Arabidopsis thaliana: one gene and its partners. The protein of the gene in region 1 interacts with the protein of each later gene in a pairwise test. Each region holds a gene or a part of one and is shown on either strand. Other genes may lie near its edges. The genes, in order: AT4G26410, ARD3, NTMC2T2.1 and ANNAT1.

Region 1 (7,451 bases):
GCTTGGTGAAAGAAAGAACGTTAATCTCCCTGGTGTTGTGGTTGATCTCCCAACTCTAACTGAAAAAGACAAGCAAGACATTCTTGAATGGGGAGTTCCCAATCAAATCGACATGATTGCTCTGTCTTTTGTCAGAAAAGGTTCGGACTTGGTACAAGTTAGGAAGCTACTTGGAAAACATGCTAAAACCATACTTCTCATGTCAAAGGTACATATATACATACATCACTCAAACTAATATAAATCACATATCCATACTCAGATTCTTATGATATGTTACTTTTGATATTGTCAGGTTGAAAACCAAGAAGGTGTAGCGAATTTTGATGATATCTTGATAAACTCGGATGCGTTTATGATCGCAAGAGGTGACCTTGGAATGGAGATTCCAATTGAGAAGATATTCTTAGCTCAGAAAGTGATGATCTACAAGTGCAATTTCATGGGGAAGCCAGTGGTTACAGCGACTCAGATGCTTGAGTCTATGATCAAATCCCCACGACCAACAAGAGCAGAAGCTACTGATGTTGCAAATGCTGTCCTCGATGGCACAGACTGTGTCATGCTTAGTGGTGAAACCGCAGCTGGAGCATACCCAGAGCTTGCTGTTCGTACAATGGCCAAGATATGTGTGGAAGCAGAGAGCACACTTGACTATGGAGACATCTTCAAGAGGATAATGCTTCACGCTGCGGTCCCTATGAGCCCGATGGAGTCACTTGCTTCATCTGCGGTCAGAACCGCTACTTCCTCAAGAGCCACTCTTATGATGGTCTTGACCAGAGGAGGCAGCACGGCGAGGCTGGTGGCTAAGTATAGACCAGGGATACCCATTTTGTCCGTGGTGGTTCCTGAAATCACGTCTGACTCTTTTGATTGGGCGTGTAGCAACGAGGCACCGGCAAGACACAGTCTCATCTACCGTGGTTTAGTCCCGGTGCTGTATGCTGGATCGGCTAGAGCCTCGATCGACGAGTCAACAGAAGAAACTCTCGAGTTCGCGTCAGAGTATGGTAAAAAGAAGCAACTCTGCAAGACCGGAGACTCTGTTGTGGCTCTCTTCCGTACAGGTAACGCTATTGTTATCAAGATCTTGACCGTCAAGTGATCCCATTTGCGTTTGAGTTTTGCCGGTGTTTCTTAGCGTTTTGGATGTTTATTCATCATGGTGACTAATCTTGAGATGAAACTCAAAGTCTCTTTTGTTTCTTTTTTTGTGTGTGGCTCCCACACACTACATAATGTTCTTGGATCATACTCTGGTTACAAGTACATTAGTTTGGTACGAGTGCAATTGCATAAACAAAGACTATTTTTTGAATATATTTTACAAAAATGTGTGATCACATTTGGCTCGTGATCACACAACTTTGGGATTCGTATTTGGAGATAATGCGATTCATGCAGTCAACAACCATACTCACAGTCACATGCCTCTCCCTCTCAACATAAATACCTGTGTTCATCTTTTTATATTTTACTAAATTAAAAGGGATACTTTTAACGGAAACCCAAATGATCATCAGATATTATAATACAAATAAAGAAAAGATTCCATTCCTCGAAAGTGTTTATTTGTTATGCAGTATTCAACAATCTGAGTGAACAAGATTTTATGTACTATAAGCTGAGGAATAGCAGTTTACGAGTTCTCACCGAGATGAGATGACCCCGAGGCCGATGCGGATGACGAAGAGGATGAAGAGAATAATCCGCTGAACGGCCATGGAAAAGAGAACCTTCTCTCGCTCACATTACTGTTCCTTGCATCATCTTCCACATTCTCATTACTTACGTTGATCTCTAGAGTTCTTGTTCTCGGTCTTACAGGATTAACCTTGGTCTCATCATCAGGAGGGAGTTCATATCGGCACACGGGACATGAACTGTGAAGCTCGAGCCACGGTACTATACACCGGATGTGAAACTTGTGCTTACACGGCATCTCTTTAGCTTCACTTCCTTTGTCAAAATCATCCAAACAAATCGAGCACTGCAATGATTCACTTATCTTAACCGTTGGGAGATTATCCACAACTTCTTTACGTGCTGGAAGACTCCCGTGCCTGATTGAATCATTATCAGCTAGATGTTCAAGCAAATGGTCTAAACTGGATCCAACAAAGTAATCTCCAATTGCAGAAAGAGAAGTATTGTTCCGGTTTTGATTCAAACTCGTTGAACCCTGAACAACAGCTGATTGATTTAACAGGTCTCGATCCGAGCTCTCATACTCAGAAGCAATCCCTGCACGAATACCCTGAAGCAACTGCAATATAGTAGCTGAGCTTCTCCGTCTCCTCCTAAGGATAGACTCAAACTCTCTGTCTAAATCAATCTCTCTACCTTGTTGCCTGTGGCGATGACGACGATGATGATGTCGATCAATATCGACGCTGTCATTTCCATCAACATCATCAGATACATTGACCTCATCATTATCCACACCAAACTCTGTCCTCCTAAACCTTCTACGTCTACGAGGATTACTCATCATTCCAAGCAAGATTGGACCCCATAGAGACAATGCACGGTCTGTACCAAAATCAATCTCAGGGTCTTGAACCTCCCTTAGACTGCTACTGCTGCCGCCATTAATCTCACGGCTCATTTCCTCGACAAACCCGCTTTGGCAAAAGGGGCATTTGATCTCGGCACCAATAACTGGATTCACCATTTGTGAACACATGTGACACCAATACCTAGCTGACATTGCCTCTTCCTCCTTCTTTCCTTCCCCACCCAAACCTCTCGTTTCTGAAACAACCAGAAGAACAACAAAAAAAAAAACATGAAGAAGCAAACCTATAAAGTTTCGACCTTTGTTTCATCAGATCTAAATAAAGAGAATGGTATTCCCAAAAGTTTCACTAAAAAGAGGATAATATCATCTTCACCAACATCATTAGCTCAAGTTTCAGACAACAAAACGCAAGCTTTCTATGCAAATGCGAATAAACAGATCAACCAAAATTTGCCTCTATAAAGAGATAACAATAGAAATCAGGGCTAATCCATGAAAAGAAAACTCTCAATTCTCATGGAGTAATTAAAACAAAACAAATACAAAAACAAACCTTGTAAATGTTCTTACTTTTGGAGATCCAGAGGGAAGAAATGTCTTCCTCCTTCTTTTAGATCTCCACGAAGATAAATGAGAGCTTTTTTATTTGTCTTCTTCTGCAGAAATGGTGGGAGACGAAGAAAAGAGGAATGAAGGAGGAAAGGAAGACGAAGATGAAGACGAAGAAAAGGGAATGTAATGTATAGTTCGCAGACCCAATCTTAAAGCCCATTAACCGCAAACTGATATATAAAGGAGCCGGGTCTATCTTAACCATTTAAAACCAACTTCTAATTTGGAATCAAATTGAACCGAATCGAACCGGTTGAAGTTGAAAGAAGGAGAAAAGGCGTTGTCTCCGTGCGAGAAAGGCAAATCGGAGACGATGAGCGAAACCGAAGCAACCGGCGTTACCGATGATTCGGCTCCAGCGATTGAGACTGAAACTGTTTCTGATGCGATGGAGCATACAGCGATCGGAGTGGTTGAATCGGTGGAAGGAGCCATAGAAGGAGCAGAGAAATGGGTGGGTGATTTGCAACGGACGGTGAAGGAATCGAAGGATACCGCAATGCGTTCTGCTCGTTCCCTCCGTGAAAATTCTACCTCTCAGTTCCGCTCTATACAGGTTAGTTAATCTCTCTTTTGTTCACCAAACAATTTTTGCGAATCGAGATTGTTTACCAAAAAACATTTTCAGGATTTCAAACCATGGATATGGTGGAATTTAGTATCTCGTAAGCTATAATTTCTAGAAATGAGCTCGATTCAGAACAGATATTTCTCCAATTAGCAGTTTTATGTATTGAATGGTGCTAGTTTTTGTTCATATGGGTAAAATCTTGTTGAATCATACCATTATAACTTATTGGCAATGATCTTAGTCTCTTCCTGGGTTCTGATTCTGCTTCAAATGGTTGTTTAGAAGACTGTAATGTATCGCTGAGGCATTCTTGATTATTCTCTAAACAATGTTTTTATATGATATCAGATATTCATGTAGCTTAATGATGTGTGATATGGAGTAGACCCTATCTGGCTGAAATCACAGTTCCATTAGATGTATGTATATGTCTTCGTCTTCTCTCATACAATCTTACATTTGATTCTGAAATTGCAGGATTTCATTCCACATGCTTTGACTCAGTATAAGACCTATGAGAATGCTTTCTTCAGTAAAGTTACAGGTATCTTGCAGCCAATTTTCGTGAAAAAGTTATACTGGTAGACTACTGTAATGCTTAGGAACGAGTATTTTAGATCAAACTGAGATATAACAGATAGCTGCCACAAAACTTTTATATATACTTGTAGTGCATCTTATAGTGTTCTGAAACTAGAATCTTCATGTCATTCCGATTAATCAATCCTCGTATCCTCTGCTGCTTTTGTTATCCTCGCAGACGAATTGATATACGCAAAAGAGCATCCGGCTGCTGCTATTGGGATTGGTGTCGCTGCTAGTCTCGTTCTGATGCGAGGTATAACCTCTACTCTCTTATCACTTTTACAACTTACAAGATTCCTTCCCGTAGGAGCATCCAAATGGTATTACATCTGTTTTACTTATATGTGTCTTGTATGAATTTGGTTTTCTATTGTTCGACTTACAGGCCCAAGAAGATTCTTGTTTCGTAATACACTAGGCCGATTTCAGAGCGAAGAGGTATATACTATACCAGCTTCAAATTTATTTCTTAACGTTGTTATGCTTAGTTGCCCTGGTCTGTGTCCCTTCCCTTATTTTTACATCCACTTCAAAATCATCGTCGCTTCAGGCACAATTCTTGAAAGCTGAGAAGCATGTTCAGGAGTTAAACATGTCTGTAGACTTGATGAAAAAGGAGAGCAGGAAATTGCTTGAGAGGACGGCTTTAGCAGAGAAGGATATGAAACGTGGTCTCTCTGAGCTCATGTATGCCCCAACATGGACGCTCCCACTTCTTTTATTAAGTTATTGACATCATTTATGTTAATATGGGTACTACTGTTATATCTATAGGAACTCTGGAAACGATATACATCGTCTTGCTAAGTCCGTCCACAAAGCTGAATGTGAAGCTGCTGGTAATCTTGAACAAGATTTATTTTTACTCACTTCTCCCTTCTCCCTTCAAATGGTATCTTTGATAATGCCACTACGTCAGATTTCAACTTACACAAAGAGTTCTATTCGCTGCAGATTTGATGGACGGACTTCGGCAAATTCCTGGAAGGGATGCTATCAAGCTTAGAGCTGAAGTGAGTCTGACTTTTTTCTTCTCGCCCATTGTTTGAGCTTCATTGCTATGAACGTCTCATTAAATTCTTTTGTCGTAAATCATTAGGTGGCTTCCATGACTTCGCTTTTGAGACAGAAGAGGATTGCATTGAACAAAAGGATCATGGGTATGTCGGACCTAGGAGTTTCCGTCTGATATATCCAACACAAATCCACAATTTCTTGGGTTTTCGCAACCAAAGTTTGTTAGGTATTTTCCAATTGAATCGCAGTGTACTCTCGTCCATCGAACATCCAACTCTGTCTGAAACCAAAATCTGAGCTTGAGACAGAACTTGTATACTGTGTTTTTGCCTGCTTCCTAAGATTTCTCGCTCAGAGAGAATTAATTGAGTCACAAAAATGTGTGTGCTTGGTTTGGAAATCCTTAATTATGTAGTCTAGAAGATTTATGAGAAACATAGAAAGTTACTGAATCAATCAGTAATGAAAATTTATAGATAACATGAAGGTTTTTAATGGGCTAGTTTTGCATCGTAAGTCTATGGGAGACGGGCTGTGGGCCATCCACCCATGCGACTAGGCGACCCAACTGCTCCGATTGGTCTAGTAATGTTAAACCCTCCAGACGAGCAAGAAGCTTCAGTCGTCGGACCGGTCCGACCATTAACGTCCAGAGTCCGTTCTCTCCTCCTTAGACGCTCCCTCTTGAGCAGAGTCCCTAACTTATCTTTTCCCGATTTTCCCTTGTCCGGAACAGGTATCATCTCCAGACCCATCAGCTTTGCAACAACCCCCGTCTTGCACCATACCACACTCTCTCCGGCCACTGTCCGTGGCAGGCGTTTTGTCTCCAAGCTCATCTGGCTCGATCTCTTTGATGTCCGTTGATCCCCGCAGTGGGATCTCCGCCCACCCTGTATCGTCATGTCAGCACTGGTGCCAAGATGGCGCCGGAAGGATGACCGGTACATAGCGTCCTTACCGTCCAGTGAGAAACGTGGGTACTGATTCAACGCGTTCCTTGCTGACCTTAACGGCAGACAAACAGAAGTTGATATTAGTATTGATCATAGTATCATACACAATAAAATTATTTCTGTTTCTTCCGGTAATTCCTTAAATATCACTACAGATTTCACCAGTATACGAAATCTAGAAAATTCAAAAAAAAAAAAAAAAAAAAACACTTTAAAATGTAGTCATATAACTTGTTTCGTACATTCAAATCTACACCGGTGAATATCATATTATCAATCATGAAACCAACGTTATTTCTCCTCTTGAATACGTTATATTCATTATTCAATATTCATCTTAATTACTAACGTGGCATGTCAAAAAAAGTTAACTATATGTAAGAGCTCATGAGTCCCTAATGAGAATATTTACTTAAGTACATATAAAAATAAGCATGACGCACCTCAAAATATCGGAACTGTTAACGCATGACATCCGGGCGGGCTGATGATATAACTTATCATCATCAACATCATTATGGTCATCACAATTATCGTAAGTACCGTAGTAAGATTCACGGAGTCTCGCTCTTCGAACAATATCTTCTTCAACCTCTAGCTGAAGTATCATCTCCTCTAGAGTTCTCGGAGATCCTCCACCGAAAGGAGTGTTTTCAGGTGTAACAGAAGGCCCCACATCGTTCTTTTGATGTTGGTTTAGTGTCAAAGTTGAGCCATCACCACCACAAGAGCTAGCAAAGCCGCTACGTGGACCTCGTCCTCGCATTCTCGAGGCGAGGGAGTATTTTTTGAGGAAGAAGAAAGAAAGATCTTTCATTGTCTTGTTTAGGATAATACTGTCTTAAAGATTTGAAATTGATAGTGAATGAGAAGAAGCCATATGGTGTTGTGTGTTGTGAGAGGAATGAATACAGGGGTGGTGGGGAGTTAGTTTCCTCAAGTTTAATTGGGTTGTAAAAAGTTTTTAAGTTTATATTGACGTTTTAATGAGTGTCACGTGGGAAAGTGTCATTGGTGGTCACGAGGTTCTCTTTTTCTCATATTTCACGTACTGTGTGATATTGTAAATGGTTTGTTTCACTTTTCCGATCAATTCTTTGAATAATTTTCTTTTCTCAAATATTATTGTTTTATCCAGTTCAATAAATAGGAGAAAGGTGTAAGATTTCAAAAGTTATGGGAAACA
Region 2 (6,612 bases), on another chromosome or scaffold:
GTGATCCGTAGACGGTGACATGAGGAATGAGAGGATTTCTTCTTTGGTGACGGGATTAGAACCAGCGGCGATGAGGCTGAGCAAAACGTTGATTGACATCGGTGAAAAGACAACATTGGAGCCATTGGCGACATCTGTTTCAATGACTTTCTTTGCTAGTCTTGCCACGACGTTGTTTTGGTTCTCAATTGATTTTCCTAACTCCATTTTTTTCCAAGAAGAGGTGTACGGGAAGATATAAGAATGGTTCTGAATATGCAGATGTGATGATTGATGAAATAGCTTGTTTCAAGTATACTAGTAGCTATTTTTTGTTTTAAATATATTTTCTGCACATGAATTATTCAATCGAAATGATTTAGAAGTAATAAAGTACCGCGTGTGGAAAAGTCGTATCATGGACTTCGTTGGAAGTACTTGGCATTAACTATAAACTAGGTCTTGAAGTTTGGTTAATTTATGCCTTATGGGTCAATTTACTTGGAACAACTCTCTTTTTCATCCTTTTACCCATAAGGCATATGCATAAACCAATTGTTCCAAATCGATTTTATAACTCTGGGAGTTGCCATTTGGAACAACTCTCTTTTTCATCATTTTATATCTCAATCTAGGAATCTATCATAGCTTGGCTATTCTCTAAAGTAAATTTCCTTTTTCTTTACTTTCTAGCACTTAAATAAAACTCCAATGAGCTATCTTTTTCAGTTTAAAATATATTTCTATGTTAATTAGCTCATTTGAACATAAATCTTTCTTGCTTTGGTGTCTCCTACATGTATATTTTGGAACCGTCTGTCAATTGGATTGGTGGATTCCGACTCTTATATCAAAGAGAAACAAAATAAAAAAACAGAGTAATAATCTTATTAGAGGGGGAAAACAATGTTTTTAAAACCAAATCATTGCTAGAGAACGTGATTTCCTAGCGAAAGTTTACACTTTACACCACAATATATACTAACGTGCATGTGAAAAGAAAAGAAAAGAAAGAGAAAAAGGTTGAGATGAATGTCTGAAGCAGCCAAATCTTATACTCCCTCTGTTCTATAAAGTTTGATGTTTTGAGTTTTATTTTTGTTTCATCAAGTTTGATGTTGTAGGTTAATATTATTATTATTTTTATTAGTAACCAATAGAGAGAAAAGAGAAGTAAAATTTATATTATTAGATTAATAGAAAAGTAATAAAAATAATATTAAAGTTACATTTTTTAATTTGTGTGAAAAACCCAAAACATTATTTTTTTAGGAACAGAGGGAGTAAACATGAACTGGAAAATAACAAGACATATACTTGATGTGTACATGTATCGATTTCTTCTTCTTCTTTTTTATCTTTTTTTTTTTTAGTTAAATGTATCGATTTCTTAGTCACCAAGAGGCAAGAATATAACAAAAGACTAGAAATTCTTTTGTTTGATTTTATTTATCATTGGGTACAAATTCTAAAAACATGAGATTATGGATACTCCATAAGTAATGTGTTCAATTCAAATAATCATTTTATTTATTTACAGTAACGGATGTATATCATGTATTATGCATAGACACCAGTAGGTTGAGACTAATAGTGACCGATAGTTTTATATATTTTCTTGCTTTCATATATTGTCATTTTCCTTCTTCTTTACATTACAATCACAACAATAATGCCAAAAGACACATGAACCAAAATGTCTTCGGTTTCCATGTTGTAAACATAATAAAGCATAATTAAAGACAACATCTAAACATATGTTTAGCTTATAGAAATCTGATCCCCGAGAGTTCTTTACGCTGAAGCGTCTATGTTACGGTCCCCAATCACCTTCAAGAATTTTTTCATATACGCTTTCCTATAAAATAGCCGTTTGAATATACATAAACACTTTTGTCGCCTCTTTGCTTAGATATATAACTACAGATCTAGTAAGCTTTGTCGTGACAATATGGGAGAACAAGACATCATTGTACCTTGCAGGAAGATGGTCATGTGGGCGATTATAAGCAGTCCACACTGGTCCACCCACGAAAAGACGCATTGCCTGTTCAATATATAAGAAAATTCCAATTTTCTAAGCAACCAAAAATATATTACTTGAACCTTCATATAGTATGAATTAATAACTAGAAGAAGCTAAGATTGAACCTTCATATAGTTGTCCGAGTCCACGGTGAAGCGATGATATATTCCAGCAGGGAAGACTATCAAACCTCCCTTCTTTACCCATACTCTAATCCAAATATCATTGAGATCCCTCACATCAAAGTATCCTTTGATTTGTTTTTAAGAAAAAATAAAATAAATGAGCACCATATCGAATTTATTTAAGTACTAAAGCAGCGAATAAAAGTACCTACCACTTCCTGCGAGGCAGTAACGGATCTCTTCATCAATATGTAAATGTTCTTCAAAAAACATCTTTACTTTTTCTTCATAGTTTGGAAGCTTCTCTGGACACACCTCACATAAGTCCTAAAACCAAACATCCAAATGTTTGCGAATCAAAAACGAATATTTAATAATCAACTAACAAACGAAGATTTATTTTTTGTTAAAAAAAAAGACCAAACAAAGGAAGATATTAAAAAAAGGCATCAAATAAATGTCACAAACCATGTAGGAGTAACCACGAGATTCGCGGATCCTTTTCAATTCCTCATCGGTTTCATAGTTATCAGCATCAAGTCTCCAGCAAAGTACTCCAAGCTCTGAACAAAAAAAAAAAAAAACATTATTAACCTACGTGAAAGAATAAAAGTATGTGCAACAATGAAGATACACACAGACCTGCAAGTTTGTCCAAAGATACAAATTCCTTAGGATCCTTGTGGTGAGGAAGTTTCTGATCCTCTTCCTTATTATCCAAGTACCAAGCTTGAATCACTTCTTCAGTTTGATCCTAGAAAACATCAATCTGATGCTAAGCAAAAACACTTCTAAAGTAAATGGGAATAGATCCTAAATCAAGAAGGAAGAGTTTATATTACCTTAGCGGCTTCACCCATGGTTATTCTTCTTTTGTGTTCAAAATGAAGAAAGAAAGAAACCATTTATATAGATAAAAAAGGAAACCGCTAGCATTTTTCTGTGTGCAAAAATGTAAAGTAAGAACACAAAACCACTCTTTCCATTTCTTAGGCACCTTTATCGAGAAGACAAGGACGTCACGAAGTGTCAAGGAGATGACGAAGAAGTGATGACGTCACGAAGTCTCACGACTTCTATTTACTCTATTTGCATTTGTTAAATAATAAGATGCTTTGTTCTTATCAATTATTGTTCTTAATAATAAGACTTCTATCCACTTTCTCAGGTCTTTGGTATTTGTTTCGATGTACTTAACTTTCTACGTGTAAGGAAGCTTCATGTTAGAAAAAAATAAAAATGGAAGCGTCATGTATTTGTTATTTGTTTCAGTGTACTTCAGAATTAGCTTTTTTTTCATAAATATTATCAAAATCTAAGACTATATAGGCTTCCAAAAAAATTACTTTGGAAGCTCATTGGAATCTTATGAATTTTTTTAATGGAAAATTGTGTTTCTATTTTAAAATTTTGATGTAAAAATAAATAAATAAACATGAAATTATTTCCGATAATCTTTTCTACACAAAAGAAAACCAAACTAGTTTTGTGATTTATATAATTTTTCATAGTAATATTTAAATTTTATTTTCAGTAAGACCATGCTAAGAAAAATATTAACGGCATGAATCATATATGTGTGATATTCGAAGTTATTAATTGAATTAAAATTAACTTTGAGAAACTTGAGTTTGATGATGTTATTACGGACAAATTACAGAGAAAGAGGAAGAATGATCCACTACATGAAGTTTACTAATTCATAGCAACCTGTCTGATTGATTGATATGTCTCGGCCAGAACGTAATCCAGCAATAGACTCAATTGTACATATTCATTGAGAGCTCCACAATCCAAATTTTTACAATCCCGATACAATGTCTTGTTTTTTTTTTTTGGTTTTAACAAACTCTTAAATTGATAACAAACTTTGTCACAAACCAGCTCCAGTTCACGTAGACTCTCGTTTACTTTTTGTAACCATTGCATATGTCATTTTGAATCGATTTCAACGACTATTTTCAAACATTAACGCGAAATAAATGGTTTAAATTTTTAAAAAATGTAAACAAATAATCCACCAGATAAACACCAAACCGAAACAGACATACATCATTTGTACTCACCCAAAGAAAACAATCAAAATAAGGTCTTCAAAATACACTCTTTGTTTTTTTGTTTTTTCTTTCTCTTTTCTATTTGCGTTGATAGAAAACAAATCTCACATTTGAGATGCTAAATCTATCAAACCGCCACCAAAGCAATATCTTGGTCTAGATAAGGCTATTACTTTAGGTTAACTGCTACCACCATTTCTTCTCTTCTTCTCTCCATTTGCAACACCAGTTGTTGCTTTATCCGAATCCGACAATTTCTTTGTTTTCCCAAGAGAAGTAGAAGATGAAAGCCTCTTCTTTGGCAATACCATCTGTGGAGGTTTCTTCTTATCAGCAACAACCTCCTTCTTTGGCATACTTGTTGTTCCGACATTAACCTTAGATTTCACAGCTTCCGTGTTGGCCAAGTTTCCTGTTGTTCCCACACTAGACTTGGATTTCAAAGTTTTCGTGTTATCCAAGTTTCTTTTTGCTCCCACATTAGCCTTGGGTTTCACAGTTTGTGCATTACTCACGTTGCTTGTTGTTTCCACACTAACCTTGGATTTCACAGTTTGTGTATTATCCAACGAATTTCTGCGCGAGGATGAGCTACCAACGCTTTCATCATCTTTAGCGTTTTCAGATGATCCACCACCGATACTGTGCCTGCGATTAGTAACCTCGATCTTTCTACTCTTTGTATCATTGTTTACAGGCCATTGAATAGAACTTTGGCTAGCTGACTTTTGTGTTTTAGATCTGGCAGGAGAACTCTTGATCGAGTTTTCGCGTTTAAGAGAACTTTTAACGGAAACTTGATCGTCAATGGATTCAGCATCCCACGGACGAGAAGCCATCCACCTCTCAAGCCAACTCCAACCCCAATCTGTTGTGTTTGTGTCCATCAAAGTCTGATGTGGAAGTTTTGAAGAGTTTCTCCATGTTTGCTGTTTTATTTTCCAACATCAATATATAAACAACTATGACTAAGTTCACAATGATGTTGTCTTTAATTTATATTTACCTGATGACTGTAAGCATACGCCAATGCCCTTTCTCGTCTTACTGAAGCTTCTTTTCGATTCACCGACCTTGCCACGATCTGTTCCTTTGATTTATTGCTGGAATCAAAATTTCCCGCGGTAACCTACAACAAAATATGCTCCAGTTCAGAATTTTGGTTCACCCAGTGTGGTAAAATGTAGGGAGATTTTACCACATAACAATGGGATGACTCTTTTTAAATTTTGTCATATTTTTAGATGAACGGTTGCATATATTGTAAACATGGTTGAATAAATTTTACATTCATTCAACAAAAAATGTAACGAGATTTACCAAATTCTGATGGTTTTCTTTCTGGTGACCCTTCTGTTGGATCAGCCTGTGACGAGTTTTGTTCTCTGCAGATAACCGATTCCTCCTCTCTTGAATCTGTGTTTGTAAACGTGTAAGAGTTTGCATTGAGCTAAGCATCGCATTCATTTGTCTTTTGACGTATTTTCCTTGCAGCAAACTTTTGAGTCTAGCCATTCCTCGCAGCGCACGAAGAGTGCGTCTCGCCTATGAAATTTCAAAATATTAGACTAAGTCTTTCATAATAAGAGGAATTAGTGATTTTTTTTGTATTTTGTCCAAAAAAAAAAAAGTGATTTTTTTGTATACCGTGTAACATCTATACGCATTTTGGATCTTGATTGCGGCAGTTTCCTCCTTTGATTCCTCAATTTGAGGTGTTGATGGGGTCGTGAGACGTATAACCTCCGCGGCAGCATGTGCAGCTACCACAGCTGCTTCGGCTGCAACAGCCGATGCAAGAGCTAAAGCTTGTCTATTCTTTGATTCTTTAGACTCACCATAGATTCTTGTATTGATGGTATATGCCGGAGGAGGAGGAGGTGGAGACGGTGGTGGTAACAACGGCTGAGGAGCAAAATCCGGCAACGGGGGAGGCGGTGGATATGGACGATGAACAGAAGAAGGTGAAGGGTCAACCGGTGGAGTCTCCTCCAGAGGGAAATCAAAAGATTCTCTACTCTTTTGTTTCCCAAACGACCATTTCCTCTTCGGTTTCTCGGGTTTCTTGATAAACAAGGCAAAACCAAAAGACCAAAATCAAAACAATTAGCAATCTTGATTTCATAATCAGGTTACATAATCATAATCAATAATTAGAGAACAGATTCGAAACACCAACTTGATTCTTTTTGTCTTTCCCTGGAGATAAACAAGCCACGGAGACACATGTTAACCAGTTCTTACCCATTTTCTCCTGAAATTTTCAGACAAATCTTTCATTGAAACATTTTCTTACAAAACACTTTATGTGAAATCAATAAGAAGAGATGAGATTATGTGAAGAGACCTCGTCGTGATGGGCCCCACCGATTCGTGGGAACCCAATTGACTTTTGTAACGATTGTGTTTTGTAAGAACGATTCAA
Region 3 (9,220 bases), on another chromosome or scaffold:
CTGTTAGCAAAGCTAAATCCGTCAGCAACATACAACAATGCAAGCGAGATGAATGCAGGCTCTGATATAATCTTCACGGATGATGTCAGTCTTCAAGTCTTCTTCCAACATCTTCAGAAATTGGCTGTTCAATCTTGAGAACACAGAGGTCTCTCTGTTCTTCCATTTCAATTGAGACAAGTTCAAATAAAGAAGATGCAGTCGTCGCTCACCAAAATGCCTCAAGTGTCTTACATTTGTTATACACACACATGACAAGACTACGCTTCTGTTCCTTTCTTTTCACTGGGGCCTTTATTTATCATAGTGTGATTCAACAAATTTTGTAGTTTCCATTTGGTCATAGTATTATCATCTTTTCTCTAAGGTTATAATAACGATTACCCGCAGGGTCATAAAAGATAATGAACTGGAGTCATGAAGACGTAATATTTAAAACCACTAGACGACACCATAATATACTACTTCAAGTGTATTTTACATCTTATACACATGATTCGAGGAGGGCTATACAAAAGAAAAGCTCGATCGCTTATTTATTTATTCTTCTTAAGTTGTCTATTTAAGTATAACTTAAACGAAGACTCTTGGAACGGACTCAACCGGCTTTATGTCAACCTCTCGCAACTCCAACTTCAGGCCTTTGCCTCCTCCATTTGCCAAGGGATGGATCCCATGGTCTGGACCCTTCATATAAGCCCTTGACTCTCGCTCCTTGTCTATCGATACTCCAAATTGCTTTTCCGTCTCTGCGGTCACCCATTGAACATTTCAAAATGTTCATGTTAACTTTCATAAAAGCATATTTGACTAAGCATAACCTATAAATGACAAATCTACGTACCCTTGATCATTTCCGGATAAAGTTGTCCGTCTCGAGTAACAGCCATCATGATATTAGGCAAGCCAATGGGAAGCTGATGCCCCAAATCGACTTGCCAGAAATGGTAAACTTTCCCATAAGTCTTGGCGACTTTTTCGAGATCTTGCCGTTGAATAGCTTCGGGAACACCGGGCATGAACAAGAAGCCTCCTTTAACTTCCCACTCGTGAGTGTGCCAAAGCTTCTTCTCATCGTCAGGCAATGTCATAAAGAGCTTCTCTGTCACAATGTACTCCAGACCGATCAGACGAGCGTTGGCATCAGGACCGTCGTAGATCAGACACTGGCGCATGTCTTCGTTGATGTGACCACAGAAATGGTGTGCCTCCACTTGTCGGGTCATGTCATATGCATAGAAATGAAACCTATGACAAGCGCAAAAAGGAGAGGATATATATAGTTCATCTTTTTACTGATGCAAACAAACTCATATGAAATAGTTAAGTTTCATTCTGCATGCATGTACACAACTCCACACGTGTTCACATCGATTAAAAATTCAAGAAAATTTGATTAACTTGATTTACGTAAGATATCAATACAATGTTTTTTAAATCTAAACTACAAGAATTTGACAGATCTATTAAACGAAAAAATGTGGTGTAGGTTTTATACTGTTATGATTATCCCTCATTCTTCCGATCCTCTTCTTTATTTCTTGTTTAAAGATAAAATGAAAAGAGAAGATTAACAATTTCAGAAGCGTACGCGCAGAGATGTTGGTGGATTTGGTTAATCGGAGCGAAGCTTTGTACGGCTGAAGCTGCCGTGTCAACCATGGAGGTTCCGGTCTTCGTTGGCTCTCCTGGAACCTTGGGTCCATTTTTGGTGGATAAATGAACTGCCTTCTCCATTACACCAATCAATTAATTCTCTTTTCTCTGCAACTTCTGTCTGATTCTTATAACTAGCAGCAAGTGAATAAGAAGAGACGGTGTTTGTATAGCTCTCGTCTTAATAAAATGAAGTGGGCATTTGCATGGACTATGACACATGGCAAACATTGAAGGTGTCACCGAGTGTGCGTGGCTTATTTGGCTTCACTTGAGGATAATAAGCAACAAGGACTAGTCAATATGTGTCAAGAGATCGCTGATTATGATAGTGAAACAAACTTGGTGAAGACAAATATGGTGATACGTGTAGACGAGATTTTAGGGTAAAAGGTAAAAAATTATTGAAGGATTGTGATGCACGCAAAGATCAAACCCCTTATGACATCTGAGCTTATGAGGCAAACGTACACGAGTATTGTCTAGGGTTTTCAGAAAAAAAGAGGAAAACTCATATTCCGAGTCCACAGCTTCTGGGCTACATGCAGACTCGTCTTTGTTTGACAAAACACATCCGTTTGACGCTACTAGACAACATGTACATTCGAAGTTGTGAATCTTCCGATTAAGCTTAGGAATCACGATAAATTGATTCTACCGATTAAGCTTAGGAATCACGATAAATTGATTGAGCCATCCACTTCAGATGCAGCTGAAGCTTGCCCGTTTTGGATTCGTCTAATGGGTACCAGTCTTTGTACTCCTCTTCCATTATAACCCTTGTCAACGTGAGGATACATCTCCCAATGTAGTCCTGTCCACAAAAGTAAAGCCACAATGTTTCATTTTTCCAATGCCCAATGCCAACACAATAAATAATAAACCAAACGAGAAAAACATCCATTTGGTGCAATGACGCAGAATAATAACCATCAAATAACAGTGTTGTTGCGGTTTGGTTTTACCTTTCCAAAGGTGTCGTGGTCCCAGACTTCAAGGACTAGCATATCATGTAACCCGTCTTCAACTACAAAATCAAAAGTCTGGTTCCATACCGGGTTCAAGCTGTCATTGACGACCTGGTGAAGCAAAATTGCCATTAGTTAATGAGGAGGATGAAACATCTATAACATGGATAACTCTTTGATGCTTTAAATGAGAGGACTTACCCGAGTTTTGCTCTTGGCACCTGATTTCTTCATCGAGAGAACAACATATGGATCAGCTTTCCCCATCAGATCTTGTATTGGTATCTCTTCTGCAGATATCACTGTCACAGAGAGAACTCCTCTTACAATGACATCTTTTCTTTTACGGCTTGATGCATTTTCTTCATCTGTTGTATCATTCTTGAGCACCCTCTCTAAGGACGTCATCGATGAAGTGACAAAGGGATTTACAATGCCGTTTCCCGAACCATAAGGGATGTAAAGGAGCTCAAGGTGAACCTAAATTACAGAGAATCAACAATAACGTCCATTCATTAGCCATGTACAGATACAAAATCACAGGGTTTATTTAATTAGGGGAAATTTATAGCCGATCTAACCTCTCCACGGTTCTTAGTATCTCTCTGGATCTCCAAATCTTTGACCAGCTTCAACCAGACGTCTTTCACTTTACCAGGTTCAAGTTCACAAAGCCGGATTTGGGCACAACCAATAAGCTCAGATGCTTGTACACCCTCGTCATCATATATTCTGACCACTAAATGTTGAGTTGACGCGTCTTCCACAACAAATTCAAAATGCTCATTCCAGATGGGATTCAGGTCATTGTTCTGATGAGAATAAATATAAATCAGATCATTCTGGTAGGTTTAGCACAAAAAGAGGATTAGATGGACTACTTACAATTGTCTTGCTTCTTTTAGTCTTTTCACGCAAAGGGCGTATAAACATTTTAGCAAAGGGGTCTGATTTTCCAACTAGATCTTTGTTGGTCAAGTTCTTTGCTTGCACAAGCTTCACCTCTAACATTCCAACAGGCTTTAGCTCCAGATCGCTGGGAATAGAAACACAAAAAAATCTAAAATAAAAGTCCAAAACCAGAAAGACAAGCACCATCATTTGCATTGACTATTCGAAAGTGCTATAACACAATAGTAAGAAAGTCAAAACGAAAAGAAAAAAAAGTTGAGCATATCCTCCACTGAAGAACGTCAACAGTTCAACTTCATCTATTTAATCTGAGGTGTACCTATAATCACCAGGTATAATTGGGATGACCTTCCGAACAGGCCATGTGATAGAATCTTCCACGGCATCCCGAATTGTTTCCTGAGACATATCAACTTACTGGTAAGTGTCATATGCACCAGGGCATAAAGGACCATCTAAGAGATTACAACCTTGCATCATATGGAGCGTTGGGTAAGAAAACTAGGAATGTATACTGTGATTTTACAAAAATAGCATATGAACAAGGTTTCATGTGTAGAACTTAAGCTGTCTACTCAAATTGCCAACCTGTCTAGCAAGTTCTAAGATAAACACATATGATTCCACCTATCATTGTAAACAAGAAAAGATGCTTAATAGGAAAATGCAATAACCAGAACACCCTGTTGATTCTCGACCACATGTACTTCATAGCTAAATAAAGACTTGTAACCACTTTGATATTTCCTTTCTCTAAGACTCTAGAATGACATAAATATTTGGTATCAAGAAACTAAATAGTATGCCAAACCTCAATAGCTTCAGAAAGTCCAGGAATTGCTGAAATATCACCTCCAACAACCTTAAGGGTGAAGTCCAATTTTTTCTGCAACACAGAATTGAATGTATAAGCTAAACATCATACAAAATTGATCACTACACCCGAATATTTTGTGTCACCACAGCTTTCTTCAATGAAACCAATCTAGCACACATACATGCATGCTCAGGTATGCAAGCAGAAGGATGCAACACGATTAAGTAAAAGTACAAAAAACTTATGAACTATCTTAGCCAATTTTAGCTACAGCTTCAAAAGTTGCAGAGGGCACTAACCTTTTCTCTAAGAGAAACGCTGACAGCTCCAAAGCAGGGAAAGTCCTCAACTAGTGGCCTAAAAATTAGCCTGAAAACACCAGTGAATCCGATGTTTTTCACCTAGAAAACAAAGAATAAGAAATCAGTTGTAATCAGCTTATCATTGATCAAAAAAAGGTTAGAATATCAATATTTCCTTCACAAGTTCTGCAAGACAGAAGAATTGACAAATAATATAAAGTCAAAGTAAGCAATCGAGGGAAATCAAATCATATACCTGAATGGGGAGGGATACACCAACTAAGGTCTTGACGCCAAGTACTATATTTGGGTTTCCATCCCATTGCATATCAAGTTCCAAGGTAATCCCATTTTTATCACCGTCGATAACGGAAACACCTAACGAATACCAAGGAGCACAAGCAAAACATAAATTCTAAAGCAACAATACAATTTCGTTTAAGATTATGGTTCGTCTTTTTGCAAACTTTAAACACACAATCCGAAGAAGTGTAAAGAAGGATACTGCTGCCATTGCCTGATTATTTCCCAGTCGAATTGATAATTCACTCCTCAGTTGTTATTCAATTGAATATTTTCCTTTTGACAGGAATTCGATGACTATCACAGAATAGTAGGTTACAATGTGGAGACACGTAAAAGTAAGAACATTCTTAGTCTAAGCTCAAGCTCAAGAAAAGTTCACAATCAAAAGGATTCCACCAACAATTCAACATGACTCAATTGCACAAGTTCTGGTACCTTACAACACAAAGTTTTACACTTAAAAAGAGAAATGAACAAAACTAACCTGTAAATTGAGGTGCCACTGTACCGAGAGTAAGCTTAGAAAATGTTAAGGAGGCCACAATGGCAGGTCTATATTGCTCAAGAACAGGCTCCACGGATGCCTTTATAAGCTCAGAGGCTGCCTAAAACTCCAAATCGAATCAAAAGAGGACAAAAAAAAAAACTCCTTTAAGAAACAATATCTTTATCCATAATACAAATAACATATCTCTACTTGAACGAATTAGACAATAGAAACATACCTCATCAACATAAGGCCAGATCTTTGTCAAGTGATGGTTGAGCCAAGTCAACTGAAGTAAATAAAAAGCCAAAGCAACAACAAGAATCAGTCCCAAGTATGACCAAATTCTAAAACTTTCGTGTTCTTCCAATACGCAGAAAGAGAGAGATGAAAACACATCAATATGTAAGTAATGTTGTAACTCAACTTCTGACGCTCGGAGAAGACAACCCAGGAAGGATAAAACTCAGGAGGCAAAAGCTTCCTGGAATCCTCCACCGTCATCCTCGCAAAAGCAGCCACCGTATTCGCCTTATAAAACAGAAACAAAATCCCGATTAAGAAGAAAAAAAATCGAAATTTTCAATCCGAAAAAGGGAGAGTGGGGTCTCACAAGTTCAGAGCGAAGCTTGGATCGAGAATTCTCCAACTTGACAAAGCCGATGATGATTGCGATTCCGACGAGGAGTCCGATTACAACGCCGACTATGAAACCCATATTTAATCGCCGGATTTAGAAAAATTGCAATGTCCGTATTACTCTGATCAACAAACACACCAGATTCAGTTCCACGAGCTAAACCGAATGAAAAATAAAAGAGAAGTAATTTATTTCTTTTCTAAGAAATCTCTATAGGAAAACAAAAATAAATAAAAAGGTTTTTGATTTTAAATTGGGATTAGTCTCATTTTAATTACAGATTATATATTTCCGAAGAGTTCGCTACCGACGCAGACGCAAAGGTTGTGCTATCGCTCGCACCAATAATACAATGACACGTCATATAACTTGGAATTTACAGAATCGGTGAGATTTTGACTTTGACATTGTTAAAGACAAAAACAAATAGAAAAGAAAGACAGTGATGGAACTAAATCCCCGGAAAGATTTTGAACATCGTCACCGGAACATAATCGCAATGACAAAGATTGAGCTTTGCAAATCCTCACTTAAGAAACGAGTCCAGAGTTCTGATCATATGCAATTAGGATCTTGGGGGACTAACAGTTGATACTTCATTATACCCTTAAATCATGAGATGACTACATACCATAATAAGTCTTGTACTCGTGTAGCTGACTGGTTTCGGCTATGGTAATGGCTCATTGATGTTATGTGACGGTACGGTCTTAAGAAGTTAGTTTTGTTATACAGTTTTCGATATTTGCTTCTCTAATAATCCTCTGAGGAATTTGTAACTTGTCACAAAAACATAAACTTAGGAGATTAATAATGGTCCCCTCTGTAAGTTATTATCTTCTGACTAACACAGTTTAGCCTTTTTCCTAATTTGTCAAAGCCTCATAGGACGTGATGTGTTCATTACTGCGATTAGATAAAAGGTGGGCACTTAAAGTGAAGTTGGTACATAAATTTTCTTTCATCATATTTAGAACTTGTTGGTGATGTAAATTAATGACCAAGTTCCAATATCAAAAAGACTTTGCGTGAAGAACTCATACCTCTCTCTATTAATGACAAGTATTCTTCTCTGTTTTCTCTCCTTGGAATGATGTTGTTTGCTACTTTATATTCTAAAAACCTTTGTTTGTATATGTTTGTAAGTAATCATTTTTGGTTGCCTTTTCTTTCAAACACAATATTCTTTAGTTTAAAAATAATATAAAGGTCTAATAGTGGAATTAAATGCCAGCAAGAGGAAGGTAGTTGATTTCAATAATACTCCAATCTCCAATCCCATTCAAAGAAAGGGTTTGAGATTCTTTTATAAAATAGTAAATGATTCGATTTTTTTCATTTAAATTGTTATAACAAATCTAGATTGGTAAACTAAAAAGATTACATTTCAAAACAAAAGCAAAAGGAAAACACAGAAAAAAAAATTAGAAGCAGTAAGACATAATTTATTACACATTGTTTGTCTTGTAATGAAATATCTTCTCTTCCTGCAGTTTTGAGTGACGTGTTGACTCTGTAATTTCAGAGTGGTCAAAAAGGTAATTTAGAACAGAAAAAAACAATGCTTGAAATGGAAACTGATTAATGAGCTGTTTTTTTAACGAAATGTAAGAAATTTTTTGACCAAAACCAAAAAGCAGAGTGTGTGGAAAAATAGTACCGTTTTGGCGGTATGAGAGACCTCCTGAAATAGCATGGTTTGGCTTTGCCATCACGCTTTCTTCATGCCCTTCTCTCTCTCTCTCTCTGCCCATCTCTCTCTGTTCCACTTTCTGAAACCAGTGAAAATCAAAAATTTCTCTAAAAACTCAAGAACTTCATCATCTTCTTCTCAGACCCGTGTGAGTGAGTGAAAGATTCGATTTTTTCTCATCTAAAGGTTCGTTACCTTTCTCTCTCTCTGTTTCTTTACAGACCCCATTGTCGTCTTCTCTAGATTTCTAACAGTCTTTCTTTTTTCAGATCTTTGTGTTTGCTTTAATGGAGTGTATTGGGAAGAGAGTGAAGTCCCGGAGCTGGCAGCGTCTTCAGGCTGTTAACAAGCGGAAGAAGATGGAGACTGTAGCTCCGGTGACATCTCCCCCAAAGAAACGACGGCAGAAGAAACCTAAAAACTATGACTCCGACATTGAGGACATCACACCAACTTGCAACGACAGTGTTCCTCCTCCTCAAGTCAGTAACATGTACTCTGTACCTAACAACTCTGTAAAAGAGAGTTTTTCTAGGATAATGAGAGATCTGAATGTGGAGAAGAAATCAGGTCCCAGCTCCTCTAGGTTAACAGATGGGTCTGAGCAGAACCCATGTCTGAAAGAGAGGTCTTTTAGGGTTAGTGATTTGGGCGTGGAGAAGAAATGTTCCCCTGAGATTACAGATTTGGATGTTGGGATACCTGTTCCGAGATTTTCTAAGTTAAAGGATGTGTCTGAACAGAAGAACACATGTCTGATGCAGAAGAGTTCTCCTGAGATTGCTGATTTGGATCTTGTAATATCAGTTCCGAGCTCTTCTGTGTTAAAAGATGTGTCAGAAGAAATCAGATTTTTGAAGGACAAGTGTTCCCCTGAGATTAGAGGTTTGGTTTTGGAAAAATCAGTCCCTGGCGAAATAGAGATTCTTTCAGATTCTGAGTCTGAAACTGAAGCTAGAAGAAGAGCTTCAGCCAAGAAGAAGCTATTTGAAGAAAGTAGCAGAATTGTAGAGTCTATCAGTGATGGTGAAGATAGCTCAAGTGAAACCGATGAAGAGGAAGAAGAAAATCAAGATAGTGAAGATAATAACACCAAAGATAATGTAACGGTGGAGTCTTTGTCTTCTGAGGATCCATCTTCATCATCATCATCGTCATCATCGTCGTCTTCATCTTCCTCTTCCTCCTCGAGTGACGATGAATCATATGTAAAGGAGGTAGTTGGAGATAATAGAGATGATGATGACTTGAGAAAGGCCAGTTCACCAATCAAGAGAGTTTCTTTAGTGGAAAGGAAGGCTTTGGTAAGGTATAAGAGGTCTGGTTCTAGCTTAACCAAGCCTAGAGAAAGAGACAACAAGATTCAGAAACTAAACCACCGAGAAGAAGAAAAAAAAGAACGACAAAGAGAAGTTGTAAGAGTAGTAACAAAGCAGCCG
Region 4 (7,244 bases), on another chromosome or scaffold:
CATGGAATCCATGACAGATTTAGCGCTAAGTCAGAACAAACTTACCGGTTCAATTCCTTCTTCCTTAGGAAATCTCAAGAACTTGATGGTTCTTTATCTTTACGAGAACTATCTAACTGGTGTCATTCCCCCGGAACTAGGTAACATGGAATCCATGACAGATTTAGCTTTAAGTCAGAACAAACTTACCGGTTCAATTCCTTCTACCTTAGGAAATCTCAAGAACTTGATGGTTCTTTATCTTTACGAGAACTATCTAACTGGTGTCATTCCCCCAGAAATAGGCAACATGGAATCCATGACAAATTTAGCGCTAAGTCAGAACAAACTTACTGGTTCAATTCCTTCTTCCTTAGGTAATCTCAAGAACTTGACGCTTCTTTCTCTTTTCCAGAACTATCTAACTGGTGGCATTCCCCCGAAACTAGGCAACATAGAATCCATGATCGATTTAGAGTTGAGTAACAACAAACTTACCGGTTCAATTCCTTCTTCCTTAGGAAATCTCAAGAATTTGACTATTCTTTATCTTTACGAGAACTATTTAACTGGTGTCATTCCCCCGGAACTAGGCAACATGGAATCGATGATTGATTTACAGTTGAATAACAACAAACTTACCGGTTCAATTCCTTCTTCCTTCGGAAATCTCAAGAACTTGACGTATCTTTATCTTTACCTGAATTATTTAACTGGTGTCATTCCCCAGGAGCTAGGCAACATGGAATCCATGATCAATTTAGATTTAAGTCAGAACAAACTTACAGGTTCTGTTCCTGATTCCTTTGGTAACTTTACCAAGCTGGAAAGTTTGTACCTTCGTGTTAACCACCTCTCTGGTGCGATCCCGCCAGGAGTAGCAAACTCTTCACATCTAACTACCTTGATACTTGACACCAACAACTTCACTGGTTTCTTTCCTGAAACTGTTTGCAAAGGTAGGAAGCTTCAAAATATCTCATTGGATTACAATCACCTCGAAGGTCCTATCCCGAAAAGCTTGAGAGATTGCAAGAGCCTGATCAGAGCAAGATTTCTAGGAAACAAATTCACTGGCGATATTTTTGAAGCTTTTGGGATTTACCCAGACCTTAACTTCATTGATTTCAGCCACAACAAATTCCACGGTGAGATTTCTAGCAACTGGGAGAAGAGTCCAAAGCTAGGTGCCTTGATCATGTCAAACAACAACATCACGGGTGCTATCCCAACAGAGATTTGGAACATGACACAACTAGTTGAGCTGGATCTATCTACCAACAACCTCTTTGGTGAACTTCCAGAAGCAATTGGAAATCTCACGAATTTGTCGAGGCTACGACTTAATGGGAATCAGTTATCTGGAAGAGTTCCTGCAGGTTTAAGTTTCTTAACCAATCTTGAGTCTCTTGACTTATCCTCAAACAATTTCAGCTCAGAGATCCCACAAACCTTTGACTCCTTTTTAAAGCTTCATGACATGAACCTGAGCAGAAACAAATTCGACGGAAGCATTCCCCGACTATCAAAGCTGACTCAGTTAACGCAACTTGATCTCAGCCACAACCAGCTCGACGGAGAAATCCCATCACAACTAAGCTCCCTGCAAAGCCTCGACAAGCTCGACCTCTCACACAACAATCTCTCAGGTCTCATTCCAACAACTTTCGAGGGCATGATAGCGCTGACGAACGTCGATATATCAAACAATAAACTCGAAGGTCCGCTTCCAGATACTCCAACGTTTCGAAAAGCAACAGCAGATGCATTGGAGGAAAACATAGGCTTATGCAGTAATATTCCTAAACAAAGATTGAAACCATGCCGTGAGTTGAAGAAACCGAAGAAAAATGGCAACCTTGTTGTGTGGATATTAGTGCCAATCCTAGGAGTACTCGTCATTCTCTCTATATGTGCAAACACATTCACCTACTGCATTCGGAAACGAAAACTACAAAATGGAAGAAACACAGATCCTGAAACAGGAGAGAATATGTCCATATTCAGCGTTGATGGCAAATTCAAATACCAAGATATCATCGAATCAACAAACGAATTCGATCCAACACACCTCATCGGAACCGGAGGATACAGCAAAGTCTACAGAGCAAACCTCCAAGATACAATCATAGCCGTTAAACGACTACATGACACAATAGACGAAGAGATATCAAAGCCAGTTGTGAAGCAAGAGTTCCTAAACGAGGTAAAAGCATTAACAGAGATCCGTCACCGCAACGTTGTGAAGCTCTTCGGCTTCTGCTCCCACCGCCGCCACACATTTCTGATCTACGAGTACATGGAAAAAGGAAGTTTAAACAAACTCTTAGCCAACGACGAAGAAGCTAAGCGACTCACTTGGACCAAAAGGATCAACGTCGTGAAAGGTGTGGCTCACGCTTTATCGTATATGCACCATGACCGAATAACACCGATCGTTCACCGTGATATTAGCAGCGGAAACATCCTTCTCGATAACGATTACACAGCTAAGATCTCCGATTTTGGTACAGCAAAACTTCTAAAGACGGATTCATCAAACTGGTCCGCCGTTGCTGGAACCTACGGCTACGTTGCACCAGGTAAATCTAAATCCCTAAATCTGATTTTGAGCTTATGAAATTTAAATCACTAAATTCGAAATTGAACTTGATTTTTCGCAACAGAGTTTGCTTACACGATGAAGGTGACGGAGAAATGCGATGTGTATAGCTTCGGGGTTTTGATACTCGAATTGATAATTGGGAAACATCCGGGAGATTTGGTATCGAGTTTGTCTTCGTCTCCAGGAGAAGCTCTGTCGCTAAGAAGCATTTCCGATGAACGTGTATTAGAACCACGGGGACAAAATAGAGAGAAGCTCTTGAAGATGGTGGAAATGGCTTTATTGTGTTTACAAGCAAATCCAGAATCTCGGCCAACGATGTTGTCAATCTCCACTACATTTTCTTAGAAACTGAACTTCTCCATCAATTTCTATGTTATCATTGTGTTTATCTATACAGCAACAGTAATCTCTGTTGGCTTTTGTTCTCTGTTCTTGCTTGTGTTTGCAGGAAGGGGTGTCGACTCTCGTTTCAGCTTTTGTTGTTGTTGTTTGGGCTTCTCGGCCTGCTTCAGCTTTTGTATGTATTGGGCTGCGCCCTTGTTGGTCTTTGGGCCTTGTTTGTTTTTATCTTTGCGGCTTGCGTGCCATGTTAGGCCTTTTGGTCTTGTAATGTGTTTGGTTAATGGAAATCTATGAAGTTAAAAAAATGAAAAAAAAAAAAAAAAAAAAAAAACTGTTAAAAGCATTTTTAGATAATGGTCATTGTGTTACTCCTCACATATGAACATTCAAATAAAGTTTTGGATACTGTCTATCTGTATATCGCCAGAATTAGTAAGAGATTTCTTATGCATAGTAGGAGATTAAAAAAAAAAATGCATAGTAGGAGATTTGTAAAGAAAGAAATAAGTTTTTTTTTGTATAATGAGTTCTAATGGACATCACGTTTGCAAGTGATAATAAAAAAATCTTACACTCTTGTACTCTGTAACGTGTTAAAATAATACAAAATGGATTATAATAACGAAATCTAAACACTTATAATCTTGCGGATGATTTTGTGACAACCAATGAAACCGTTAATGCGAGATTACGATAGTTTTTTATGAAATCATGATTTGTGCATAAAGTTAAGCAAATGCTAAATAATTCATAAAGTGTAAGAAACACGTGGCAGAAGAATTAATAATTCGTTTGGGATATTTTTGGTATATACGGACAGGCCACGTCGTGTCCTAAACCTCTTAGCCTTTCCCTTTATAAGTCAATCTTGTGTCGGCTTCGACTCCCAACATACACAAAACACTAAAAGTAGAAGAAAAATGGCGACTCTTAAGGTTTCTGATTCTGTTCCTGCTCCTTCTGATGATGCTGAGCAATTGAGAACCGCTTTTGAAGGTATAATAGTTTCATGATTCTTCTTGTTACGTTCTCTGTTTTTGTTACCTTCTTGTTTACATGATCAGTATCCACTTTTTGTAAAAGTGATGTGAATCTGTTGGTTTTCGTTTGGTGGGTTATTGTATGATCATTTGTTTTGATTGTTTTTCATGTGGATCGATCTTTGTTTTGGTCCGATGATATGAATGTTGTGTCGGTAGCGTTTTATGATCATTTGTACGATGATGTAGATCGAGATTGTTCCTTCATGGATCGGATCAGTGACAATGATCTCCTTTCTTTGTGTGATCTATAACAATCTTTTGTGTTAGTGATGAAGTTTTGATTGTCTGATCATGTTGATAATGACAATGATTACATTCACACGAGATCTTGATTGAGTTGTGTTTTGATTCTCACTGTCACAGATCTGTCTTCTTAGTCTAGATCTATAATGTAGTTACGTGTAATACAACACTAAGATCTTAAGATTTATATTTTGTGAATCTGTTTGACCGGTTCTGTTATTATGGATCTGAAGTGTGTGTGACTTGGATCTGAAGTATGTGACTTTGATGGTTATGTAAAGTGAATCTGATTCGTGTTTTTCGCAGGATGGGGTACGAACGAGGACTTGATCATATCAATCTTGGCTCACAGAAGTGCTGAACAGAGGAAAGTCATCAGGCAAGCATACCACGAAACCTACGGCGAAGACCTTCTCAAGACTCTTGACAAGGAGCTCTCTAACGATTTCGAGGTTCGGTTTTCGGACTTTTAAGTATCGACTTTTAAACATCTTGTGTGAAGTCATTGTATTCTAATTGGTTTTTTGGTCATGGACAGAGAGCTATCTTGTTGTGGACTCTTGAACCCGGTGAGCGTGATGCTTTATTGGCTAATGAAGCTACAAAAAGATGGACTTCAAGCAACCAAGTTCTTATGGAAGTTGCTTGCACAAGGACATCAACGCAGCTGCTTCACGCTAGGCAAGCTTACCATGCTCGCTACAAGAAGTCTCTTGAAGAGGACGTTGCTCACCACACTACCGGTGACTTCAGAAAGCTTTTGGTTTCTCTTGTTACCTCATACAGGTACGAAGGAGATGAAGTGAACATGACATTGGCTAAGCAAGAAGCTAAGCTGGTCCATGAGAAAATCAAGGACAAGCACTACAATGATGAGGATGTTATTAGAATCTTGTCCACAAGAAGCAAAGCTCAGATCAATGCTACTTTTAACCGTTACCAAGATGATCATGGCGAGGAAATTCTCAAGAGTCTTGAGGAAGGAGATGATGATGACAAGTTCCTTGCACTTTTGAGGTCAACCATTCAGTGCTTGACAAGACCAGAGCTTTACTTTGTCGATGTTCTTCGTTCAGCAATCAACAAAACTGGAACTGATGAAGGAGCACTCACTAGAATTGTGACCACAAGAGCTGAGATTGACTTGAAGGTCATTGGAGAGGAGTACCAGCGCAGGAACAGCATTCCTTTGGAGAAAGCTATTACCAAAGACACTCGTGGAGATTACGAGAAGATGCTCGTCGCACTTCTCGGTGAAGATGATGCTTAATCAATCAATCCTCCACAGAGAAACATAAGCTGCTCTACAGCTTCTGTTATCTCTTATCTCCCTCTCTCTCTCTTTGATGAGTTTCAAATCGTTTGATTTTGTTTCTACAAAAACCTTGTTTGTTTCTGTTGTGTGTTTTGAGTTCCTAAATAATGCAAAAGAGAGAGACAGAGAGAACCAGTGTGGTCTCTTAAGTTATATATATATGAAGAGCATTGGCCTAAAACACAGACTAACAAGTAGTTCTGGTTTTGACAAAAGTTGTTGTCACTACAAAAAGGGAGACCAACAACAAAAAAGTTAAGGGCATTGTTTTCTCTAAAGCCCTATCCGATCTTGAAACACAAAATAACAACAACAACATTTTTTAGTTACTAATCAAAGTCACTTCTTCAAGATGGTCTTGGAGAAAATCTTCTTGCAGTAAGGGCTCGAGTGTAGTTTCCCGTACCTGTAAACCTTCGCCACCAATTTAGCACGAACAGGTCCCTGCATCAACCCCAAAAGCCATGTCAAGTTCTGTTTCTAAAAGCTTATAACATATGTATTGATTTGGACTTACTTTGGTTACAGAGAGAGCAGTTTGGATCACATAGTTCGCATAAGGATCTTGCAGAAGATATTCAAAGTTTGGAACACAGAGGAGCTCACGGACGATCTCAGCTCGACTCTCTGGATACTTCCTTAGACACTTCTCAATCACGTGGCTACTAAACTTCTGAGTAGCTAACTCGGCGTAGTGCATTCTAAACTGAACCAGCAACTTCACTGCAGAAACTTGTTGATCTATTAAGTACTGCACCACATAGTTCCTGCCAAATTTCATTAACTATAAGGAGAGTTTTTCAAACTATACCAAATCTTTAAGTCTAAGTGGAGACTAAATTTACCCAAAAGGATCCTGAGAAAGGTGAAGCGAGTTTCTTGATATCTCAGCGACGAGTCTTTCACGTTGCAGTCCAACAGAGTTTGAAATGCAGCATTGAAGAACACAGCATCCGTGTCGATGAATAGCAATCTCAGCACAGTACTTAGTAGCAGCTTCTAACACAAACTGACACCAAAATTCACAACATTAATCAGATCTTAAGTAAGAAACAAAAACAACAGTCTCAGCACATTACTTTGTAGCTGCTTCCAACTCAAACTAACACCAAATTTCACAACATTCACGAAAGCTTGAGTATGAAACAAAAGATGTAACCTCATTGTCATTAGGGCCAAGGGTTTGCAAGCAACTCTGTATCACATGGTTCCCATTCAGATCTTTGACAAGAGCAAGAAACCCCGGTTTGAGACCTGACTTCACCAATGCAATCTGCTGTTTTGTTTTCACAGTTTCAATCATCTTCTGCACAACCCTTGTCCTGTTTAAATTCAAAAACACATTATCCACAAATCAGAATTCAAAAACATATTATCCACAAATCAAAACCAGCAAATTTCTATGCTTTTGGCCAAAAGTTCTCAGCCTTTTGTAATCAGAAGTAAGCGGATTTAGAGGGTTTTGCCCAAAGGTCTCAGCTTTTTTTTTCTCTCTTCCTGAAGCAAGCAGTTTTGGTTTGTCCAAAAACAGCAAAAAGTAAAAATAAAAATTCATTCTTTTCTACCAAATGTTGCATTCTTTTAGTGATAGACTGATAGTGATGGCTACAAAACTAATGCAGAGATTTCAAATATTTCCATAAACAGAAAAGATTTCATCTTCCCCAAAAAAACAAGAAAGATCTCATCTTAATCCTCAAAAGCTGAAATGTCT

The links.
Region 2: the proteins of AT4G26410 (region 1) and ARD3 interact in a two-hybrid assay, tested with the Arabidopsis thaliana proteins (one large-scale study listed by BioGRID).
Region 3: the proteins of AT4G26410 (region 1) and NTMC2T2.1 interact in a two-hybrid assay, tested with the Arabidopsis thaliana proteins (one large-scale study listed by BioGRID).
Region 4: the proteins of AT4G26410 (region 1) and ANNAT1 interact in a two-hybrid assay, tested with the Arabidopsis thaliana proteins (one large-scale study listed by BioGRID).

Annotation. Positions count from the first base shown.
Region 1 is NC_003075.7:13,343,311-13,350,761, forward strand, and holds AT4G26410 (chromosome-associated kinesin), read left to right. Parts: upstream 1-3,343; 5' UTR 3,344-3,449; coding exon 3,450-3,692; intron 3,693-4,184; coding exon 4,185-4,251; intron 4,252-4,467; coding exon 4,468-4,545; intron 4,546-4,677; coding exon 4,678-4,730; intron 4,731-4,842; coding exon 4,843-4,979; intron 4,980-5,066; coding exon 5,067-5,131; intron 5,132-5,246; coding exon 5,247-5,305; intron 5,306-5,391; coding exon 5,392-5,481; 3' UTR 5,482-5,827; downstream 5,828-7,451. Other genes in the region: AT4G26390 (Pyruvate kinase family protein), read left to right, coding at 1-208, 296-1,108; AT4G26400 (RING/U-box superfamily protein), read right to left, coding at 1,643-2,713; AT4G26415 (uncharacterized protein), read right to left, coding at 5,828-6,317, 6,709-7,082.
Region 2 is NC_003071.7:11,230,285-11,236,896, forward strand, and holds ARD3 (acireductone dioxygenase 3), read right to left. Parts: upstream 3,078-6,612; 5' UTR 3,036-3,077; coding exon 2,973-3,035; intron 2,885-2,972; coding exon 2,773-2,884; intron 2,694-2,772; coding exon 2,599-2,693; intron 2,458-2,598; coding exon 2,343-2,457; intron 2,256-2,342; coding exon 2,131-2,255; intron 2,027-2,130; coding exon 1,838-2,026; coding exon of another isoform or gene 1,774-1,837; 3' UTR 1,486-1,773; downstream 1-1,485. Other genes in the region: AT2G26390 (Serine protease inhibitor (SERPIN) family protein), read right to left, coding at 1-207; Iqd4 (IQ-domain 4), read right to left, coding at 4,367-5,116, 5,194-5,316, 5,508-5,732, 5,835-6,251, 6,367-6,435. UniProt on the Arabidopsis thaliana protein: Catalyzes 2 different reactions between oxygen and the acireductone 1,2-dihydroxy-3-keto-5-methylthiopentene (DHK-MTPene) depending upon the metal bound in the active site.
Region 3 is NC_003070.9:1,622,044-1,631,263, reverse strand, and holds NTMC2T2.1 (Calcium-dependent lipid-binding (CaLB domain) family protein), read right to left. Parts: upstream 6,346-9,220; 5' UTR 6,167-6,345; coding exon 6,062-6,166; intron 5,980-6,061; coding exon 5,875-5,979; intron 5,774-5,874; exon of another isoform or gene 5,738-5,773; coding exon 5,687-5,737; intron 5,567-5,686; coding exon 5,446-5,566; intron 5,034-5,445; coding exon 4,912-5,033; intron 4,755-4,911; coding exon 4,653-4,754; intron 4,423-4,652; coding exon 4,348-4,422; intron 3,936-4,347; coding exon 3,856-3,935; intron 3,661-3,855; coding exon 3,510-3,660; intron 3,437-3,509; coding exon 3,206-3,436; intron 3,105-3,205; coding exon 2,826-3,104; intron 2,736-2,825; coding exon 2,622-2,735; intron 2,471-2,621; coding exon 2,324-2,470; 3' UTR 1,975-2,323; downstream 1-1,974. Other genes in the region: AT1G05520 (Sec23/Sec24 protein transport family protein), read left to right, coding at 1-138; AT1G05510 (naphthalene 1,2-dioxygenase subunit alpha (DUF1264)), read right to left, coding at 574-749, 845-1,248, 1,592-1,737; chr31 (chromatin remodeling 31), read left to right, coding at 8,069-9,220. UniProt on the Arabidopsis thaliana protein: May be involved in membrane trafficking.
Region 4 is NC_003070.9:13,221,455-13,228,698, forward strand, and holds ANNAT1 (annexin 1), read left to right. Parts: upstream 1-3,713; 5' UTR 3,714-3,849; coding exon 3,850-3,925; intron 3,926-4,521; coding exon 4,522-4,667; intron 4,668-4,753; coding exon 4,754-5,485; 3' UTR 5,486-5,785; downstream 5,786-7,244. Other genes in the region: AT1G35710 (kinase family with leucine-rich repeat domain-containing protein), read left to right, coding at 1-2,561, 2,646-2,932; PUM9 (pumilio 9), read right to left, coding at 5,870-5,974, 6,048-6,297, 6,376-6,539, 6,690-6,852.